Linked DNA regions of Drosophila melanogaster. The protein of the gene in region 2 purifies or fractionates together with the protein of the main gene of each other region. This does not show direct contact. Each region holds a gene or a part of one and is shown on either strand. Other genes may lie near its edges.

Region 1 (3,630 bases), 1.5 Mb from region 2:
AGAAGGCGAACATTATTCTGGGCGGACAGCCGTTGCCCGACAAGGGATCCCTTTTCTACGCACCCACAATTGTCACAGATGTGCCACCCTCGGCGCAACTCTACTCGGAGGAGGTCTTTGGTCCAGTGGTCTCCATCATACGGTTCCGAGACGAAGAAGAAGCGGTAAAGAAGGCAAACGACACCAGGAGAGGCCTGGCCGGTTACTTCTACAGCGAGAATCTGCAGCAGGTGTTCCGGGTGGCCAAGCGACTGGAGGTTGGCATGGTCGGCGTCAACGAAGGCATCATCTCCGCAGCAGAGGCTCCGTTTGGTGGCGTCAAGGAGTCCGGTGTCGGACGGGAGGGTTCCAAACACGGTATCGACGACTATGTGGACATCAAGTACATTTGCATGGGCAACCTCAAGTACGACTGAAGTCCGATGGAGGGATCACCCCCACTGCTTTCATACGCTGTCTTCCACTAGAATGCGATTGGTTTATTGTTGTCTAATTGTAGAATAACACGCCGCTATATTAATAAATGTGCACAAAGTCTACCTGAAGCTAATAGATAATTTCCCTTTTTTAAAATAGCCCGCCTCACCTTTCGATTAATTGGGATTGGTTAACAATCGCTTTAAATTGACAAGAAACCGATCATAGAGACATCGATATCCGGGAGTAATCGATTTTTCTCCACCTCTGGGCAGACTATCGCCATCCCCACAGCTGTGCGACAGAGACAGAGACAAAATTACAATGCCAAATGACAAAATTGTAAGTAAATTGTTGATAAAAAATTAAAAAGTGCATTTAGGGTGGAAACTAAGCGAATGTCTTATTGGTGAAGTGTGTGCAGTGAAATTGGTCAAGTGTTTCCCTATAGCTACCCACCAAAAAAGCCGGCAAACAATGTCGGTTTTCCAGTTCGCTGGCGTTTGTTGTTGTTGCCTAAATGTATGGAAAATATATTTAAAGTGCATTTCAGCCGGCAAAAGCGAAGCATATAATGCATAATGAACCCATTTGGAAGCACTCCCGGCAGTGCAAATCCACTGCAAGTCCCGAAATGCGGCCAAAGGTGCTGGCGGTGAAATTGAATGGTACCATGACTTGTAGATTTTCCACTGAAAGAGTGCAGTCTAGGCGGCAGTAGGACTGAGGGGAGTGTGCGGGGGTTTTGAGACCAAAAACCGATCCAAAAACCAAATAAATTATTAACAATTGTTGGCTGCAATCCGCCTGGGGGAAATGCATTTGAGGATATTTCTGTCTAATAAAGCAATTTCTGGTTGATAGGGTGCTACACTCAGAAAAATGTCTCTGCGTAAAATTAATTTTTGAAATATATGTTTTGTAAAATAAGAAAACTGCACATACCAGTAAATAGCACAACTTAAAATTTTAAATACAAATTTAATATAATTTTTTTGTTTTAAAACTGCATGCAGCTTGTCTTTCAAAATGCTGTTTTATTTTTTATTTAAAGCTCATACAATTACAGATCCGAATTTACATATACAGGCATTAGTTCTCTTTTTAACTATGCACTCATTTTGGCAACGAATTGCATTTGTTTTTAATTGCGATGCCAGATAAATTTCCGCAGTCAAGTTCGCGCCTTCATGACGTACAGTTCGAAACACTAAGCAAAAAGCCCTACAGGCTTTGGTAGCTAATAGCTACACTTGACAATCCCCCTTACCCAATCTACCACCCACCACCGCCCACACAAGAGCCCACCCAACCGCCCATCACCCAGTGACCCGTCCAGAAAGTCCAGAAAATGGCCTGTGCACCACTGCTGCTCGAGCAATTCATCTACAAGAAGCGCAATTTCGCCTACGCCTTTGTGCGCCATCGTCTGTTTGTGTTATGTAAACAATCGGTTGGATCAGAAATTGCCAAATTCACCTGTCCTAGTACTAATTAGAATCTGTTATTCATTTGTTAATTCCAGCTAATTCGCGTTCAGTCGGCGGAGGGCATCAAACGCATCGAGATCTCGCCCAAGTCAAATCTAAAGCATCTGTACGACAGCGTTCAGAATGCCCTGAAGGTGGATGGATTTGGTCTCTTCAAGGAGCGCAACTTCCTCACAGAGCTGCAGGCAAGTGGCTCCCAGCTGGTGGGGACTTCCTTGAGGCATGGCGACATGGTCTACTTAAAACAGATGGCTGGCACATCATCGCGCGTAAGTTGATCATATAGAGCAGAACGATCGGGGACTAACCTGCATTTTTCACCACTTCTCAGCGCACTAGCACCACTGTCCTGGACAGTCAGGCGTTCAAGACTAGCACCATTAGCAATCCAAACAGCGCTCGTCCATCCTTCAATGTGATCGAAGATGACGTGGACCAGGCTCTGAGCAAGGCTGATGGCACCATTAAGCGCGAACGTGATAGCAAGCTGTAGGCCTTGATTATACAATTAATTGTAAAATTAAACTGATCAACCTATAACTTTTTGTAGGTGCCACCACAATGCCAACGGCCGTTGCGTTCACTGCTCCGCACTGGAGCCCTATGATGAGTCCTATCTGAAGGAGCACAATATCAAGCACTTGTCCTTCCACTCGTACATACGAAAGCAGACATCCGGCATGGATCAGGGCAAGTACTTTGTCTTCGACGACATCAATTGCCGCATCAAGCCGGGATGTCGCGAGCATCCACCATGGCCCAAGGGCATCTGCTCCAAGTGCCAGCCGTCGGCCATTACGCTGAATCGTCAGACATATCGCCACGTGGACAACGTCATGTTCGAGAACACTAAGATCGTGGAGCGCTTCCTCAACTACTGGCGCACCACAGGACACCAGCGCATGGGATATCTGTATGGGACGTACGAGCAGCACACTGATGTTCCGTTGGGCATTCGGGCCAAGGTGGCTGCCATTTATGAGCCGCCACAAGAGTCTACCAGGGATTCGATCAATATTCAGCCGGATGAGTTCGCCGACGATGTGGATGCCGTAGCCAGTGCGCTGGGACTGAAGAAGGTTAGTTAGTTATAGACAGTAGCTATGTAGCATTAGTATTGACTTTTGTGACATTTATAGATTGGTTGGATTTTCACTGATCTCATCACGGACGATGCGAGTATCGGCACTGTCAAACAGATCCGTGGCATCGAGTCGCACTTTATTACGGCCCAGGAGTGCATCACAGCTGGCGAGCTGCAGAATCGACATCCAAATCCGTGTAAATATGCCTCCAATGGCGTCTTCGGCTCTAAGTTTGTGACCATTTGTGTAACAGGTAAGATTCACGATTTAATACTGCTTAATGAACTAGTACCAAAATAGTTTTTAACATTACAGGAGATAAAACCAAACAAGTGCACATGGAAGGCTATGCGGTTTCGGCTCAGTGCATGGCTCTGGTGCGCGATAATTGTCTGATACCCACTAAGGATGCGCCCGAGCTGGGCTACGTGCGTGAATCCACGGACAAGCAGTATGTTCCCGACGTTTTCTATAAGGTAAGTTAGAAAGTCTCCCCCCCATTCAAGCAAAATCAGTTATCGGGCAACCTTTATTGAATTACGTTCACACATTTACACAAACAACTTCCATATTTAGACATCAATACGAATGGGATTTGGTTTTTCAGTTTGATACATGCAAAGAAAATTTGGGTGTCA
Region 2 (3,959 bases):
CTTGTATTTGATCAGCTCCTTGATGCGGTCCACGATGAAGAACTCAAAATCATCATCATAGTAGCCAATATCGCCAGTATGCAACCAACCGTCCTTGATGGCGGTCTGCGTGGACTTCGTATCTCCGATGTAGCCCTTCATGATGCCGTCGCCTTTAAAACAAAGCTCGCCGCGCTCGTTGGCCCCCAATAGCTTGCCGGTGTCGGGATCGATCACCTTGGCATAGATTCCCACCTTAAGAACGCCCACACTGCCTGGCTTGCAGAACTCATCGTTCTGCACCAGAACACTCAGCGTTGATTCGCTGAGGCCGTATCCCTGTCGGATGAATGGCACTCCAATACGCTCCTTGATCTGATCCTCAGTTTCGCGACTGAGTGGAGCTGCTCCACACAGCAGGACCATCAAAGAGGACAAATCGTACTTATCCACGATGGGGTGTTTAGCCAAAAAGACCATCAGTGGTGGCACCATGAAGGCCATCATCACGCGATACTTTTCAATGGCAGAAAGGAAGAGCTTTTCCTCGAACTTGGGCAGGTATACCAATCGTGCGCCAACGCAGGCGGTGGTGATAAGCGTCAGACAGCCGAAGGCGTGGAACCAGGGAATGACAGTGAGTAGAGTGACCTCCTCCATTGGAATGACAGTGGGTTGGCTATTAAAGAAAAATCATTTAAAAGAAACGCCTTTATAGCATATTATTAAACTTACATTTGTGAGTCGAGAGTGGCCAGCAGGTTCATTTGGGTCAGCTGCACTCCTTTAGGAAGTCCGGTGGTTCCAGAAGAGCACACAATAAGAGACACGTCCTCGTCCTTATTGGCCGCAGGGCTCGTGAAGTCAGGCTGTGTCTTGAACTTCTCGTCCTCCATCAGCTCCTTAAGATCATAGATGTTCTTAAATTTCTTGGAAGTTCCACTGAGCGCAATGATGCCCTTGACGAACTTATTCTTGCTGGCCACTTTGGCAACACGATCAATGGTAATCTTAGAGGCGAATATGATCTTTGGCTTGGACAAGTTAATGGCGTGGTCCACCTCACGATCGGAATATGTTACGTTAAGGGGAGCAACCGTAGCCCCAACTGCTAGACCAGCGAACATGGCCAGGGCGAAGTTGACGCTGTTTTCGCTAGACAAACCAACGACGTCATTCTGTTTGACTCCCAGTTTTTGAAGGATGTATGCCAGCCGTACAATGGACTTGTGCATGAAACTGGCAGAGTACTCCACTCCATTGACGGCATCCACCAGCACCGTCCGGTCGCCAAAGCTCTTGTACTTGTCGAGGATGTACTGACCCAAGGATCTGCTATCCTGGGCCTGTCGTTCAGTCACAGGACCTCCGTACACAATGTTTCCGGGCAGTAGCTTTGAAGTCATTTTGTGTCTGCAAAGAGAAAGAAACATGATAGTTTTGCATTTTATGATGAGCTATAATGGAAGATAACGAACTGTGGGTTATCTACCAAAAATTATACACGCCTTTGGGGAGTGTGAAGTTTTCCTCGAAAATATTAAAAGAAAAACGGTTCAGGGGTTGAAGTTATAGCAACCCTTCAAACCATACTTTGAACCCCCCGGACTATCTAATCGCATTCGGTTCGCAGATCTTTTACTTGTGCTGAACATGCCATCGATGTTAACAATGTTCCCGCTATCTGAGATAGTGGACTACAGAAAATCTGCATGTTTGCCAGTCCAGGTTCCAAAGGTCGCAGTTCACAGCGGTTGAAGTGGCTTCTTCCAGCTCCCCTGCGGTCTAACATTTAGGCTTTCAAGCGAACACTCGTTAAACCATGTAATGTTTATCTTTTATACCGCTAATATATTCAGTATCATTCAGATAAACTCGTCAATTTACTTATGTACATACGCTAAAGTTTTCTAGGTTACGATGCGAGCGGGAGCGGCTTGCGTGCGAAACTAACTGTTCGTCGGAGAATGGTAGGGCGGAATGTCAGGCTGCGTTTACGGAACGATTAGATTAGCTTATTTGATAACCCCGGCGTTGAAACTGCGCAGGCGCGAGTAGTGTCTCTGACTATTTTTCATTCAAAGTACACCAAAAGTGCAACAAAAAATGGGTCAGGGGATGGTGCTGCTCAAATTTGCAGGAAAAACAAGAGACAGCTGATTCAAATACTTATTCGATAAATTCTTATTGAACTGTCAGCTGACGGTCTGGCAACGCCGTGTGTTTATTTTCATTTAAACGCTCTACACTCCAAATTTTACGGTATATGGGCTTTAAAAATATATTATATTACCTAATTTTTAGAATATTATTAAAAACTAACAAAATTATTTAATTTTAATCCCTTTATTCACATTTAAGGACATCGATAAGAGTGGAAAAAGAGACTTGTTACAATGCAATGATATGGTTAATATATTATTTTATTTATTTACTTATATATTAAGGATTTTTTTTAATATCGTGCCAAAAATGATTTTAACAACTTTACTCTGATCAAATGTAGCGCATTCGTGTGTCGCTTCTGATCGATCTGATCCACTGACGATCTGATTCATGAATGCCTAACACGCATCGGAATGGAGTAATAGCGCAAATATAGGAAAAATGCCAGGGACCAGTACTTAGTTGTTGATATTCTTGGGCGTGGAACAGAGGTAAGTACTACTGACGCAGAGCTGCCTCAAGATAAACGTAATCAGCATGGAATTATCGTTCGCATGGCATTTTAAGAATCAATACATATCTCGCTTATAGGCACCATTAACTAAGGTGACGACGCCCTTCCTCAAGCAATACCATGTCAGTGTCCATTACAAAAAAGTTTTACAAGTTGGATATAAATCGAACGGAATGGGAGATCCCGGATATATACCAGGATCTGCAGCCCGTGGGATCGGGAGCTTACGGACAGGTGTCAAAGGCAGTTGTTCGTGGCACCAATATGCATGTGGCCATTAAAAAGCTTGCCAGGCCTTTTCAATCAGCTGTCCATGCAAAGAGGACGTACCGGGAGCTTCGACTTTTAAAGCATATGGATCATGAGAACGTAATCGGTCTGCTGGACATATTCCATCCACATCCCGCTAATGGATCGCTGGAGAACTTCCAACAGGTGTACTTGGTTACCCACTTGATGGACGCAGATCTGAACAACATCATACGGATGCAGCACTTGTCCGACGACCACGTCCAGTTTTTAGTCTACCAGATACTCCGTGGCTTGAAGTATATCCACAGCGCCGGAGTGATCCACCGTGATCTTAAGCCCTCAAACATTGCCGTCAACGAGGATTGCGAGCTGCGCATTCTAGACTTCGGGCTGGCCCGCCCAACGGAGAACGAGATGACAGGCTATGTGGCCACGCGTTGGTACCGGGCACCTGAAATAATGCTCAATTGGATGCACTACGACCAAACAGTGGACATCTGGTCGGTGGGCTGCATCATGGCCGAACTAATTACCAGACGAACCCTCTTCCCAGGCACCGACCATATTCACCAGCTAAACCTGATTATGGAGATGTTGGGCACGCCACCCGCCGAATTTTTGAAGAAGATCTCATCGGAAAGTGCACGTTCCTACATCCAGTCACTTCCGCCTATGAAGGGACGAAGTTTTAAAAATGTTTTTAAGAACGCCAATCCGCTGGCCATTGATTTGCTGGAAAAGATGTTGGAGCTAGATGCCGAAAAGCGGATCACAGCCGAGGAGGCTCTTTCCCATCCATATCTGGAGAAGTATGCGGAGCCCAGCGTCGAGCAGACCTCACCACCATACGATCACAGCTTCGAGGATATGGATTTGCCCGTAGACAAATGGAAGGAATTGATCTACAAGGAGGTCACCAACTTTAAGCCCCCACCATCGTATGCTCAGGTTCTAAAGGATGTAAAGTGAACACAAACCATCAAGAATTTAAAGTATTACATAGGCCAATTTATTTGTTATAGCCTTTATGTTCCAACCATGTCTTTTG

Evidence for each region. Proteins that work in one complex are often made in the same cells at the same time.
Region 1: the proteins of p38a (region 2) and Npl4 purify together in Drosophila melanogaster (affinity purification with mass spectrometry, with the first as the bait; one large-scale study listed by BioGRID). This does not show direct contact.

What each region holds. Positions count from the first base shown.
Region 1 is NT_033777.3:25,621,718-25,625,347, reverse strand, and holds the start of Npl4 (nuclear protein localization 4), read left to right. Parts: upstream 1-1,602; 5' UTR 1,603-1,768; coding exon 1,769-1,870; intron 1,871-1,942; coding exon 1,943-2,176; intron 2,177-2,238; coding exon 2,239-2,396; intron 2,397-2,457; coding exon 2,458-2,986; intron 2,987-3,046; coding exon 3,047-3,245; intron 3,246-3,307; coding exon 3,308-3,468; intron 3,469-3,509; exon of another isoform or gene 3,510-3,630. Other genes in the region: Ssadh (succinic semialdehyde dehydrogenase), read left to right, coding at 1-416. UniProt on the Drosophila melanogaster protein: May be part of a complex that binds ubiquitinated proteins and that is necessary for the export of misfolded proteins from the ER to the cytoplasm, where they are degraded by the proteasome.
Region 2 is NT_033777.3:24,150,523-24,154,481, reverse strand, and holds the start of p38a (p38a MAP kinase), read left to right. Parts: upstream 1-2,160; 5' UTR 2,161-2,241; intron 2,242-2,340; 5' UTR 2,341-2,388; intron 2,389-2,485; 5' UTR 2,486-2,636; intron 2,637-2,712; 5' UTR 2,713-2,779; coding exon 2,780-3,880; 3' UTR 3,881-3,959. Other genes in the region: CG6178 (uncharacterized protein), read right to left, coding at 1-658, 715-1,385.